2 linked regions of the Macaca mulatta genome follow. The protein of the gene in region 1 interacts with the protein of each later gene in a biochemical or structural test. Links are inferred from orthologs where the notes say so. Each region holds a gene or a part of one and is shown on either strand. Other genes may lie near its edges.

Region 1 (7,053 bases):
TATAAGATTAAAACATTTAACAATAATAGGTAACATTCTCAGAGTGTTAAAAGAGGGAATCTTAGGGTAGAAATGAAGTCTCTAAATTTAAAGCAGCAGGATAGTTTAACTGTAAAACCACAAGTGACTAAGTTGAAAATAAACCATAAGACACATGTTATCTTATTATTATACAACTCATTCCTGTTTACATGTATTCACACTAGTATTGACTGCAGCAATACTACTTAGCTAGGACTCATTTTTAAAGCAATATTGACTTTTTTATTTTATACATATATAGAATGCATGGATGTATTCTCTTCATATCATTATATATGATACAAAATATACAATGTATATATTGTATATATACACAATATAATATGTATATTATATATATGAATTAATGTATAATAAATCATACGTTACTTTGTATTACAAGCAAGCTGACCCAGGAGTTTGAGATCAGCCTGGGCAACATAATGAGATCCCCATCTCTATAAAAAATGAATTTAGCTAAGCATAGTGCAGCACACCTCTAGTCCCAGCTACTGGGGACACTGAGGTAGGAAGATTGCCTGAGCCTAGATGGTGGAAGCTGAAGTCAACACTGATTGTACCACTGCACTCCAGTTTAGGCCGTGGAGTGAGACCCCTGTCTCACAAACAAACAAACAAACCAGGAGTGCAAATGAAGACTTGGAGTAGGTTATTCTCTAAAGGGGGCAAGCTTGCTGGTGGCAGCCAGAATGATCAGGCTAAGAACAAAAAAGAAATAAGATTGGCTGAAAGGATACAGCCATAAAGGAGTGTAATAGGCTGTGTGTTTAGAATAGAGGAGAGAATTGAGTGTGGACATGTAAATGGTGTGGATTCAGACTATGAAAACAGTATTGACTATGCGAAGGCAAGAAGTGATCTTGAAGCAATAGTGTCAAAGTTACAGCATGAGATGGGAGTCCTAGCTTCTTGCATATCAGTATATGTCTTTGGGCAAATCACTTAACCTCTCCAAACCTCAATTTCCTCATTCATAGAATGAGGATAAAACAGCATAAGGATTAGTGACAGGATAAAATATACATGTAAAAAAAGCACAGCATCTAATAACTCCTCAAAATATGTTTTTACTTTTTTTTTTTTTTTGAGATAGAGTCTCGTTCTATCACCCAGTCTGGAGTGCAGTGGCATGATCTCAGCCTCCTGGTTTCAAGCGATTCTCATGCCTCAGCCTCCTGAGCAGCTGGGATTACAGGCTGGCTAATTTTTGTATTTTTAGTAGAGATGCGGTTTTGCCATGTTGGTCAGGCTGGTCTCAAACTCCTGGCCTCAAGTGATCCACCCGCCTTGGCCTCCGAAAGTGTTGGGATTACAGGTGTGAGCCACCAAACCCAGCTAGTTGTTACTATTATTGCTGCAGAAAAGACCTTACTTCTCAAGTGACCATAAGGGCAGATGGTAATACAGAGGCTTGGTTTGGAGGTAGAAGCAAAGGGTACTAGCAGAAGAGGAGAACTGGGTCGCCTCTTTCTGGCCTTTGGTTGGGTTGCTTTTTAAATGGAGCTGAAGAAAGTGCCAGATCCAAGAGCCCAGGGGGCTGGCTGTGAGTGCTCTCATGTGGATCAGCTGTGGTCAGATTGCTTCACACCTGTGACCCGCCCTGTATAAATATACTGCCATGTATAAATAATGGCCCCATGTATATGTAATCTGGAAGGATAAACATCAAGCTTAACAATGGCAACCTGCAGGGAGGGAAGTGGAATTGGGTGTGTATGTGTGTGTGTGTTTGAGAACCTGTATTTTATTACTCCATACCTCTTTATTGTTTGATTTTTTTCACAATGAGAATTAGTTCCTGTGTTGGGTAAAAAAAAAAGAAAAGAAAGAAAGAAAAAAAACCACTAAAATCAATCTGATTACAAAAGAAGATGAATTAAAGAAAAGTACCGGAAGAAACTGCTTGTGATCCAAGTCCTGGCTCCTTGATGCCTGGCTGAAGCCCAGCCCACAAAGACAACACTGGGTTAAAGGTCCTGGAGAAAAGATGGGAAAGGTTTGGTGTCTGTGTAGTGTCTGCTAGTCCCAAAAGGGTAAGGCACCTAGTAGACGGTTCCCAGCTTAATGGGAACTGCTCCTGTTTTCCAGGCACACAATTCAGGGCTGGAAAAGTTCAACAAGTGCATGGAACATCGGAAACCTCCTGGAAATGCTAAATTTGCCCCAAGATGTCCTGAAGTCCGGCATATTTCTCTGGGCAGCCTCGAGGCTCAGGAGCCCAGCCCAGCCCAGCCCACCGTGCCCTCTCAGGCAGCCCTTCACTGCCTTCAGCAGCCCTCCCTCTTCCTGAGTAGTGGCCCTTCGCAGGCCTGCGTCCCAGCCCCGCCCCTCTCTCTGGACGCATCTTTGGGCCCCATCATCACCCGGCGCCGGGCCCTCCCTCTGCCCCCCCTTTCTCCTCCCTCCTTCCTTCCCTCCCTTCCTCCCTCTCTCCCTCCCTCCCAGCTCCTGCACCAGGAAACGGCCCGGATCCCGGCAGCGGCCTGACCCGTGAGATCCCTAACCTGGCAGGCGGGCGGGGTTGGAGACTGGCTGAGGTGGGGGTAAGGGAGGAGTTGGGCCTTTGGGCTGCACTAGGGGGAACCGCGAATACAGATGGTGTCGGCAGGAAGCCCTTGGCCCTGGGTTTCCCGGGAGGACAGTCATTAAACATGGATTCGGCCACACAGCTGGTAGAGCGTTGGGGGCAGGGGCCCAGGCCCAGAGCTGCAACCCTAGCCGTTCCCAGGCCAGAACCTGATCCCTGGCCTTCCCCTCCTGGTTCTGATCTCCCCCTCCCCTTTCCAGAGCTCCACGCTGGCCGGGAGGATGAAAGGCCCCAGCTGGGGGCTCCTTGCCACCAGTGCTGTGTCTTAAGAGCTGCCATCCCGGCTGGGTGAGTGTCTCCTTCCTTTCTCTGTCTGGAGTAAACCATTGCGTCTCCCACCTTTCTCTTCGGCCCATCTGCTCCCCCTCATCTTGTGCCTCTGCCAACATCTTTATATCTTGCATTTGGGGAGGTCCTAAGCCCCTTCCTCTAGCCAAGGAGGTGTGGACTAAGGAGGCCCAGGGGTGGGAGGGTTGTAGGGGTGTCACAGAGCTGACGTTGTCTTATTATGAAAAGAATCTAAAGTATCTCTAAACAGAAAATGTACTTGTTTTAAATGTAATTTGGCATATTAGGAATGTAATGGCCAGCCCCTCACAGCCTGGTCTCATATCATGACTTAATTCCCTTGTTCTTGCCTCTCCCTGTCCAGTGAGCTCTGAGCATTTCTTCTCTCCTCCTCATCTCACTGGGTTGGTCAAACCAGAAATGCCCCTTCTGATTCTCTCTCCATATATTCATGCCAGTGTTTCATCCTTGCCTCTTATAGCTGCCCGGATGGCGACCCCAGCCTCGGCCCCAGACACACGGGCTCTGGTGGCAGACTTTGTAGGTTATAAGCTGAGGCAGAAGGGTTATGTCTGTGGAGCTGGCCCCGGGGAGGGCCCAGCAGCTGACCCGCTGCACCAAGCCATGCGGGCAGCTGGAGATGAGTTCGAGACCCGCTTCCGGCGCACCTTCTCTGATCTGGCGGCTCAGCTGCATGTGACCCCAGGCTCAGCACAGCAACGCTTCACCCAGGTCTCCGATGAACTTTTCCAAGGGGGCCCCAACTGGGGCCGCCTTGTAGCCTTCTTTGTCTTTGGGGCTGCACTGTGTGCTGAGAGTGTCAACAAGGAGATGGAACCACTGGTGGGACAAGTGCAGGAGTGGATGGTGGCCTACCTGGAGACGCGGCTGGCTGACTGGATCCACAGCAGTGGGGGCTGGGTAAGAAGCTTCTCAATTGCCGCTCTGCACATCCCTCTGCAAAGCTGGTTTCCAGGGGGAAGATGGGAGCTCTGATTGGAGACTGAGGCAGCTATGTTGGGAATGAGGTGCGGGGCTGAGTCTCCCCGTCTGGGTGGAATCAGATTGAGAGATGCCTGGACTCTGCACTCCAGGGCTGCCATGCAGTCAACACTGGATGGGCTCATGGTCCCAAGCAGAGGACAGAATCCACACCCAAGGAGTGCCTGCAGGGGAATGTTGTCAGGGACTTTTTGCACCTGAGTCATGGTGTGGGAGGTGGGGAGGACCAGGGATGGGTGGTGGTCAGGCAAGCCTTGGCAAAGGATGCTAGTTCTGAGCAGAATTTTTCGCCAAGGAAAGGATGGAATTCACTGGAGGCAGAGTGGGCGGCAAATGAACCAGTCTCTCAGGGTGGGGGTGCACCTGGGGGGATCAGAGGGGCTTGCAGCCAGAAGAGCTTTGACCAGAGAGGAGCTGGGTATGGGGTAGTGTTGGCAGTGGATGGAACTGGAACTCTTCCTCTCCTCTTCTGTCCACTCTTTCCTCTCCTGATATCCCTTTCTCCTTCTTTCTCTCCTACTTCCCTTCTCTCCCACAGGCGGAGTTCACAGCTCTATACGGGGACGGGGCCCTGGAGGAGGCGCGGCGTCTGCGGGAGGGGAACTGGGCATCAGTGAGGACAGTGCTGACGGGGGCCGTGGCACTGGGGGCCCTGGTAACTGTAGGGGCCTTTTTTGCTAGCAAGTGAAAGTCCAGGGCCAGGTGGGGCTAGGTGTGGCTGGGGGCCAGGAGAGCAGGAACAGAACAGAGAAATGCCCTTGGAAGAAATGGAGTTGGTGGATGGGTGGGCATGGAACAGGATGGGCAGGGGAAGGGTAGTGTGTGAGGCAGCTGAGTAGGCCAGGTAGGCGATTGGAAGAGTGAGCAGGACACATAGGTGAGGGAAATGTTTTGGCAAGTTTAGGGACGCAGGAGATGGAGTCGATCCAGGGCTGGGGGATGTGGGAGGGATCACACCTATAGGTGTGGGCACATGAAATGACCTGGAACTTGGTTTGCAGCCCTGAGGAAGGTGGACTTGCATAAGCAGTTGTATTCCATTAGATGAGTGGGATTTGGGGAACGCAGAAGGCACATCCTTTTGGAATGGAAGCTTGGGGGTTCTCAGGTGATAGGGAGAGGTGGCTGTAACAGTGGGCTGCTTGGACACACGTGTGCATGTGCACGCATGCTGGTGTGCATGCTGGGCTGCCTGGCAAATCTGGTGGTGGTGGGATTCCTCAAGGAGAAAACATTCCCTCTTGCAATGGCAAGAACTAGGGGCAGTTCTCTGTCCCTCCTCCCAACCCCTCCTTTCCCCTGCCCTTGTCCTGATGCCTCAAGGCTTAGAGAGAAACATTGTATCCAGACCGAGGGCTCTGCTGCTTCTCTCCAGAAAGTAATTGGCAAGGCTTTGAAGAGAAGAGCAGTTCTGCAGCTGGCCTTGTTCCTTCATCATCCCCCTTCCTTGTGCATCATGCACTTGCTGCTGCCTCCCGGGCTCTGATAGAAGGGCAGGGCTGTTGAGCCTGGATGGGTGGAGGCTTAGGTAGCTGGACCTGCCTGCCACCCTCCTCTCCCACTCAGGCACAATGGTGCCTAAAGTGTTTCCAATCTCTGGGACCTCTGTACCCAAACTGAAACTCTAAATTGGGGCCCTAACTAATTTTCCTTTCGAGGTTGTGGACATAAGTGCTGATCTTGAGTACAGTCTGGGTCCCACACTGTGTCTCAGTGAGACTGTTGATGCCTTGAGAGGACCATTTCAGCCCTGAATCCCATGGGTGTGAGGGTGATGGGCACTCCAGGACTGGCCTATGCTGTGTTGTGGGCTTTGGTTCGGCTTTATCAGGGGCCAGGCATATGGGTTCTAGAGTACCTACCATGACCTAGAAGCATTTATGATTTGAAGCCACACTGTTTGCATGGGTGTTACTTGTCTGTACCTCAGAGTCTGAGGATGTTAACTTTGGAACTCGCAGTCCTCTAGAACAGCTTCAGATTATGGCTTTTTCTTTTGAGGAAGAAATTATTCTCTCCAGTTGCATGCCCTGAGCCAGACCTCACTGCTGCACTTTCCAAGGTGCTAAGATTGCTGCTCTCCAATGCTAACTTTCTGACACAGTGCTCTAGAACCCTGCCTGTGGTCCTGAGCACTGATCAGCTTAGCTAGACCATGGTTGACTCTTCTTGGAGATTTTCACTTGGTCCTAGAATGTGGCAACGTAGTTGTGCTCGCTAGAATGTGGGACCAAATTGGCCTCAGGTGTTTAGTCCAGACTTCTGCTTTTGAGAGAGGGCTGCACTTTTTAATGGTATTTCTAGGGGAGGTGGTAGGCTGCATGTGCCACTTGGTCTTGTGAGTATGCTGACACCAGAAACTCAGAGCCAGCTTGTGGCAAGCAGTTGGGGTGGGGGGTCTCTGACTTGCTCAGGACAAACTAGGCCAGTGGTTTTCAAACTGCTTGGCAGAGCCCTGAAGTTTCCTAGGGGTTGCCTCAGGAGTCCTTGGGGAGATGAAGGGGGTGGGGAGTTGAGCAGGCTGGGCAATTTGCCCTCAAACTGAACAGCTCTCCTTGTAGCTGTCTTACATATCGGGGTTCAGGGTAAGATTTTATTTGCATTAGGGGTTTGCTGCTGAAAAAATGTTGGAAAACCACTGACTAGACCATCGGCTCCAAATTGGAACCTGTGCTTCCTTCCCCAGGTTTGGAGCACACTCTTCACCCTACCCTCTACCACAGGACGCATATCCCTGTTAGCATTCCCCGGGACCTTTAGCCAAGAGGGGCTGCAGGGACCATGGCCAGGTTACCGAAATGCCCTGCTCTGAAGTCTTGACACCTGGGTGGAAAGAGAGGCTGTTTTCTGAAAGGGTAAAGGGCTTGGTCTGGATTCCCAGAAACAGAGCTTAGATGGGACCACAGTGGGCAATTTTGACCTGTCCTGCCCTTCTTAGCTTGAAGGGAAACCCCAGAGACTCTTCTGTCAGGGAAAACTAGGGACTCTCTTCTAGAGCCATATAGTTCCTTGGGATTAGCTCTTGGCCAAGAAGGCTGAGTATGGCTCCCAATTTTTAAATCCATTTCGTTTTTTAAAAAACAAGGGAAATAAATGTAATTGCCATTTTTCAAAGATTAAGTAGGAGGAGAGGG
Region 2 (7,406 bases), on another chromosome or scaffold:
CTACTAAAAATACAAAAATTAGGCGTTGTGGCGTGTGCCTGTAATCCCAGCTACTAGGGAGGCTGAGGAAGGAGAATCACTTGAACCCAGGAGGTGGAGGTTGCAGTGAGCCGAGATCACGCCACTGCACTGCAGCCTGCACGACGGGAGCAAGGCACCATCTCAAAAACAATAAAATAAAGAAAACAAGTTCTGAAATGCTGAGGCTGAAGAATATGAAGACTGTTCACCCTGGGCCGGACCCTGAGGCTTGAGAGGCAGGTGCCGCCCCTGGGCTCCGCTTCACAGTGTTTGGGTCTCCCCTATGAACTTGCGCCCCAGCCCTTTTGCACCCCAACTCCTCCTTTACATCCCCCCTCTGCTACCATCATTCCCCAGGCAGGCACAGGGGACTCTCTCATTCCTTGGGGCTCAGGCGCAAGTCACTTCCTCCCCACCCTCACCCGGACAGAATTAACTGCTCCTCATCTGTGTTGTCCCAGCACCTTGGGTAAACAGACCTGGATTGGGCACTCAGCCCATCAAGGTCTCATTAAATGTTTACCTGTGTGTCTGACCCAGCCGGCCGGGAACCTGCACGGCCCCAGCACAGAGCAAGGACCCAGTGAAAGCAGGTGAGAGGATGCGGACAGCCAGAGAAAGGCTTGAGAGTTCACTGCAAAATCCTGAGGATGAGGAAAGGGGTTAATCAAGCGCTCGGCTCACGACGGCAGGCTGTTCCTGGCTGGGAGACCCTGGACTAGACAGTATCACCTTCTGTTAAAGGACAGGAGGGAGAGCCCCATGGGCAGATGTAGCCCTGAGAAGGAGGTGAAACGCTGCATGCAGGGTATACATGCAGATCACAAGGTCAGAAGTTCGAGACCAACCTGGCCAACACTGTGAAACCCCATCTCTATTAAAAATACAAAAATTAGCCTGCCATGGTGGCACGTGCCTGTAATCCCAGCTACTCAGGAGGCTGAGGCAGGAGGATCACCTGAACCCGGGAGGCAGAGGTTGCAGTGAGCCGAGATCACGCCACTGCACTCCAGCCTGGGCGACAGAGCAAGACGCCATCTTGGGGATGGAGGGGGGTGTCAAGAATACTTGATCTTAAATATCCAAAACGACAGGGACCCTCACTCAAATAAACAAGTGAGCTTTTCTCTGTTTGCTGCACGGCTTTTCAGTCTGGGTAACTAGGTGCCAAGTTCTCTCCCACCCCCAGAAAAACAGGTTTACTACGCAGGGCCTGGCGAGGCCCAGTGGTGTTTTGTATTGTCACATCCTAATATTGACACTAGGAAAATCAGCTGCCCTTTGTGCCCGCCCCTCTCCTGCCTGCCTCAGGGCCAACAAGGAACTTAGGGGCCGGCCACTGATTTGCTCACATTCTATGTTTCTACCAGGGACCAGCCCCAACCAACCAGTGGCAGGACAAAGGGAGGCTAGGAAGTGATCACATGTGTCCAGTTCAGACACACTGCTGGCTTCCTGGTGACCAGCAACAGTAAGACTGGTGCGGAGGCCGGGCGTGGTGGCTCACGCTTGTAATCCCAGCACTTTGGGAGGCCGAGGTGGGCGGATCACAAGGTCAGGAGATCGAGACCATGGTGAAACCCCGTCTCTACTAAAAATAGAAAAAATTAGCCGGGCGCAGGGGCGGGCGCCTGTAGTCCCAGCTACTCGGGAGGCTGAGGCAGGAGAATGGCGTGAACCCGGGAGGCGGAGCTTGCAGTGAGCCGAGATTGCGCCACTGCACTCCAGCCTGGGTGACAGAGCGAGACTCCGTCTCAAAAAAAAAAAAAAAGACTGGTGCGGAGACTTCCTCCGTACTGCTCAAACTGTTCTGAGCACAGACGGCAGTCAAAATCTCATGGGATCCACCAAGTCTGCAGCAGGGGAAGCAAAAAGCCATCAATTGTCTACACATTTAATAGGTTCACTAAAAACAGGATGCTTTCCAGGGAGAGGCGAAAATACCACCAGCAGTGGTGTCAGCTTCAAGACTCACTGGCCAATCAAGCCCTTCCTCAATTACCTCCTTCCGTTTATTTGAGACGGGATCAGAAATTGGGAAAAAAAAAAAAAAAAGTACACTGTTCTTAGTAGTCTCTGGTTTCTTTGCAGCTCTGTGGCACAAGATATCATTTTTTTTTTTTTTCTGAGATGGAGTCTCATGTTAGCCCAGGCTGAGTGCAGTGAGTGGTGCCATCTCTGCTCACTGCAATCTCCACCTCCTGGGTTCAAGCAGTCCTCCCGCCTTGGCCTCCCAAAGTGCTGTGATTACAGGCAAGTCAAATGTGTAAGAAACTTGAGCCAGGCGAGGTGGCTCACGCATGTATTCCCAGCCATTGCACTCCAGCCTGGGCAACAAGAGTGAAACTCCGTCTCAAATAAAAAAAAAACTTACAATAACTAACATGTATGCAGCCCCTCTATCTAGCCATAGAGTACCTGAGCTGTAACAGACACTGGGGATCTACCATTTGATGCTTTTTTTTTCCTTTGACAGAGAGTCTCACTCTGTGGCCCAGGCTGGAGTGCAGTGGTATGATCTCAGCTCAGTGCAACCTCCGCCTCCCAGGGTCAAGCAGTTCTCCTGCCTCAGTCTCCCAAGTAGCTGGGATTACAGGCATACTCCAACACGCCTGGCTAATTTTTGCATTTTTAAAACAGACTGATTTTGCCATGTTGGCCAGGCTAGTTGCACAACTCCTGACCTCAGGTGATCCACCTCCCTCGGCCTCCCAAAGTGCTAGGATTACAGATGTCAGCCACCATGCCCAGCCTAATGCTCCTTTTTTTGAGACAGGGTCTCACTCTGTCTCCCCGGCTAGAGTGCAGTGGTGTGATCAGGGCTCACTGCAGCCTTAACCCCTCCAAGCTCAGGTAGTCCTCTGAACTCAGCCTCCTGGGTAGCTAGGAACAGAGGCACATGCCACCATGCCCAGTTAATTTTTTGCTTTTTTTGGTAGAGACAGGGTTTCACCATGTTACCCAGTCTGGTCTCAATCTACTGAGCTCAAGCAATCCTCCTGCCTCAGCCTCCCAAAGTGCTAGGATTACAGGCACGTGTCAAATGTGTGAGAATTTTAGTCTTAATATCCTTAAGACAATAATGATAATAATAATAATAGTAATAATAATAAAAGGGCCGGGCATGGGGCCACATCTGTAATCCCAGCACTTTGGGAGGCTGAGGCGGGTGGATCGCCTGAGGTCAGGAGGAGTTCGAGACTACCTTGGCCAACATGGTGAAATCCCGTCTCTACTAAAAATACAAAAAATTAGCTGGGTGTCGTGGTGGGCGCCTGTAATCCCAGCTACTAGGGAGGCTAAGGCAGGAGAATGGCTTGAACCCAGGAAGTGGAGGTTGCAGTGAGCCGAGATCACGCCCCTGCACTCCAGCCTGGGCAACAAAAGCAAAGCTCTTGTTTCAAAAAACAAAACAAAACAAAACAAAAAAACACCCAGACTGTGCCATTTCTGAGAACTTATTCCAAAGACATGCCCAAATTAAGTAGAAATCAGGGTAAGTCTTAACTACACGGAGGCTACTAACTTGAGTCGGGCTTTCTTCATCTGGGCAGAAACCTCAGAAATACATTTTGCAGAATGAACAGAAGGAACTGAGGTTCAGAGAGATGGAATAGCCCTTCGGAGGCCACAGGGCTGGAGAGTGTAAAGAGGTTTTGGCTTGGGTTCCATAAAGGGTCCTTGGCTTCCAGCTAGACAACCCTGGCATTTCTGTGCCTCCTGTGACTGAAATCTCTTGTTTCTCCACCTGGATAACGAGGCCTCCTGCTCCCAAGGACGGACAGATGTTAATAACTTCCCGGCGCTAGTGCCCACCAGACTCTGCCCCTCCTAATGTGGGGACATGAGGCAGACACCAACCTCCCTGGGAAGCTCGGGCTCCCAGGCCACAGTAAACACTGCGTTAAAACAGCAACAAAAATGTTACAGTAGTAAGAGCAACAACAACATCAACAACCACGTCCTACCCCACGAGTGGCTCATTCTGTAAAACTGACAATGAAGGGGCTTGAAAGCGATCGCATTTAGGAGGCCAGAGCCCAGACGACGACCAGCTCCGAACCCCACAAGCCTTGTCGTGACCGCGCCCCGCAGGCGGGGGGACCCCTCTCGGGTCACCCGCAGGGGCGCACCCCCAATTTACCTAACAAGGTCGCACGCCCCAGCCGGGCTCTAGTCCCCGCGACCAGTCCGGGGCGCACCTGTGCAGGGCGCATGGGCAGGTGTGGGCGGGCGGCTGCGCGCCGCTCCGGGTGCACGTTCCTGTTCCGGACTTTCTGGGCGTCCCGTTACGAAGCATTTCCTCGGCCCTTAGGTGCACAGCGCCTCTGGGAGCCGGTCCCAGCAGCACCGGGCACGACGCCATCTTCCCTCTTTTAAGGGCACCGGGGCTGTGCGGCAGCGGCCGTGGGCTGGCGGTGCCGCGCTGCGCTCTGGCCGGGTCCGCACGACCCCAGAGGTCGGAGTCCGGTGCCCGGAAGCCGCCCTCGAGGATGGTGCGAGGGCGATGGAGCGTCCGGCCATAGCGGTGAGACGCAGAGGAACCACCCCATTGCACAGGCGCGGAGACTGAGGCCCGCAGGGGCCGCGCCTGGCACGATCGGCCGTCGGGGACCTGGAGCCCTGGGCAGAAAGGGGATGTTTCGGAGCCGGAGTCCCGAGACGTCGCCCCACAAGGGACTCGCCAGCGACTTGCTGGGGCGGAAAAACCTGGGCACGGGTCCCCACACTTCCAGCCGCTCGGCACCCGGGCCGCGGCCTGGGCGCTAACCGCCGGGCTCGAGCTGGGTGGAGCGGCGGGCGGCAGCAGGGTCAGGGGCACTCACCTGGCGGCGGCGATGCTGGCAGCGTCTGTGAGCCACCGGAGAAGCTTCGTGTCTACTGCCCGGCTGCCGGCGCGGGACCTAATAGGTCCGGGCGCCCCGCCCCTCCCGCCCCGCCCGGGTCCCGCCCCGCCCCGGGAGCGGCCTCTCGCACCCCGAGCGCGGAATCCCGGACTGGGGTCTGAATGGCATTGGCAACAGAACCGCTACAAGTGCAGCCGGTTGGCTTGTTTACAGCCTCTCTGCCCCCTGCGGTTCTGCAAGCTTGTTTTGTCCCGTGCGTCGCTGTTTCCCCTGCGCCCAGCACGGGCTTGCAGTCGAGATCGATCCATTGACAGAATCTGGGTGTATAATCCAAGCCCTTTACACAGATGGCCTCCCTTCGAGCTCAAAGTACTCCTCGGTGCTTTTTTTCACGATCATTTTACCCACCGAGGCTCCAAGAGGACGAAATGACTTGCTAAATGACAGCGTGAAGCCAGCGTTCAAAAACGTGCTCCTTAGGCTGGCAGCTTCGGGACTTAGGTGTTTTTAAGCCTATTTCACGAATATGAAAACCGAGGTTCACACTTGGGTAGCAGCAGCATCCAGTGCTCCATACCCGAAGCCAGGGGGACTGCCCCTCCACTGCCGCCCGTCCGCAGCCTTCCAGCTGCAGCACCCACCCCCTGCCTTCCCCCTCCCGTCGGGGCTCCGGGTCCGCGAGAGGCAGGTCGGAACGGGAGGGATTGGGGGCAGGGGGCCCACGTGCAGACCTGGTGAGAAGGACCCCAAAGCCCCCGCGAGGGACAGAGAAATCAGGAAGGTTCCAGGCGGGGTGGGCTGGTGGCAGCCTGCCCCGCGGGGATGAGTAGTGCCTAACAGCGGCACTGGGGTATATTGGGGGTGGGAGAAGGCAGAGCGCTCTTGGAATAACAAAGTAACAATTGTCCTGCGCACAGCAAAGCTTGTTTACCTCTGTCTTGATCCCCTCAGAGATTAGGGGAGGGGCAAGGGAGGGGCATGGGAGGGGCAAGGGAGGGGCAGGGGAGGGGCAGGGGCTCCCCTCCCCCAGCTCTGTCGTTTGCTACCTGTTGGGTACCCTCACTCTGTTCTTCCCACCTGTAGGGTAATTACTTCCCCCTCAGTGTTCTCATCTGTGAAATGGACAACAGCACCTACCAAGAGCTGGGCTGTTGGGAGGACCAGAGGAGGTAAAGCCTGATAAAGTCTTCAGAGCCCCTCCCTCCTTCTGGGCCTTGGACCTTCTTTGCTTTTGTAGTTTGTTGTTGTTGTTGTTGTTGTTGTTGGTTGGTTTGTTTTTTGAGATGGAATATCACCCTGTTGCCCAGGCTGGAGTGCAGTAGCACAATCTCGGCTCACTGCAACCTCCTAACTTTCCTCCGTCTCCCAGGTTCAAGCAATCCTCCTGCCTTAACACCCCCTAGCAGCTGGGATTACAGGCATGAGCCACCATGCCCGGCTAATTTTTGTATTTTTAGTAGAGAAAGGGTTTCGCCATGTTGGCCATGCTGGTCTGGAACTCCTGACCTCGGGTAATCCAACGGCCTTGGCCTCCCAAAGTGCTGGGATTACAGGTGTGAGCCACCACGCCCAGCCCTGTAACAGTCTTTTCTTCTAGGGCCTCCCAACTACATAAACTCCAACCCCTACAAAGCAGCTTGCCCTGACTGTGGCTACAGTCAGAAGTGGGGAACCCTTCATAATGGGGGCTTCCCTCTGAATGCATTTTGCAGATGAAGAAACAGAGACTCAGGGTGGTAAAGCAATGACACGGGGTCTCATGGGTCCAGAAGACCTGATATGAGTGAGATGCTTGCAGAGGGGTCTTGAGACTGGAGGCACAGTGCCAGGCATGTAGGAGATGTTCAGTAAACATTAGTGGAACAGATGGAGAAAGAAGGACCGTTTGGGGACACTTTGGATGATTCAAGGGTGGAGTGGGTGAAAATACAGTACTTATTTACTTTGCAAAATCCCAAGATAATATGCTGATCCATAGGAGGAAGAGATAGCTGGAGGTGGTGGCTCATGCCTATAACCCCAGCACTTTGTGAGGCCAAGGCAGGTGGATCACCTGAGGTCAGGTGTTCAAGACCAGCCTGGCCAACATGACGAAACCCTGTCTCTATTAGAAATTTAAAAACTCGGCCAGGCGCAGTGGCTCGCACCTGTAATCCCAGCGCTTTGGGAGGCCGAGGCAGGCGGATCATCTGAGGTCAGGAGTTCGAGACCTGACCAACATGGAGATCAGGAGTTCGAGACATGACCAACATGCCTAACCAACATGGAGAAACCTTGTCTCTACCAAAAATACAAAAGTAGCTGGGCGTGGTGGCGCACGCCTGTAATCCCAGCTACTAGGGAGGCTGTAGCAGGAGAATCACTTGAACCCGGGAGGCAGAGATTGCCGTGAGCCGAGATTGCGCCATTGCACTCCAGCCTGGGCAACAAGAGTGAAACTCTATCTCAAGGAAAAAAAAAAATTCAAAAATTAGCCAGGCCACTATTCACAATAGCAAAGACTTGGAACCAACCCAAATGTCCATCAATGACAGACTG

What was found. The genes of interacting proteins can lie anywhere in the genome.
Region 2: the proteins of BCL2L2 (region 1) and BIK interact in a biophysical measurement, tested with the Homo sapiens proteins (2 studies listed by BioGRID and IntAct, with this or other methods). The link is inferred for Macaca mulatta from reciprocal best matches to the Homo sapiens genes BCL2L2 and BIK.

The regions. Positions count from the first base shown.
Region 1 is NC_133412.1:96,404,888-96,411,940, forward strand, and holds the start of BCL2L2 (bcl-2-like protein 2), read left to right. Parts: upstream 1-2,480; 5' UTR 2,481-2,714; intron 2,715-2,829; 5' UTR 2,830-2,917; intron 2,918-3,398; 5' UTR 3,399-3,406; coding exon 3,407-3,838; intron 3,839-4,457; coding exon 4,458-4,607; 3' UTR 4,608-7,053. UniProt on the Homo sapiens protein: Promotes cell survival. Blocks dexamethasone-induced apoptosis. Mediates survival of postmitotic Sertoli cells by suppressing death-promoting activity of BAX.
Region 2 is NC_133415.1:8,364,087-8,371,492, forward strand, and holds the start of BIK (bcl-2-interacting killer), read right to left. Parts: upstream 4,950-7,406; 5' UTR 4,848-4,949; intron 4,782-4,847; exon of another isoform or gene 3,467-4,781; intron 1,049-3,466; exon of another isoform or gene 909-1,048; intron 666-908; exon of another isoform or gene 545-665; intron 1-544.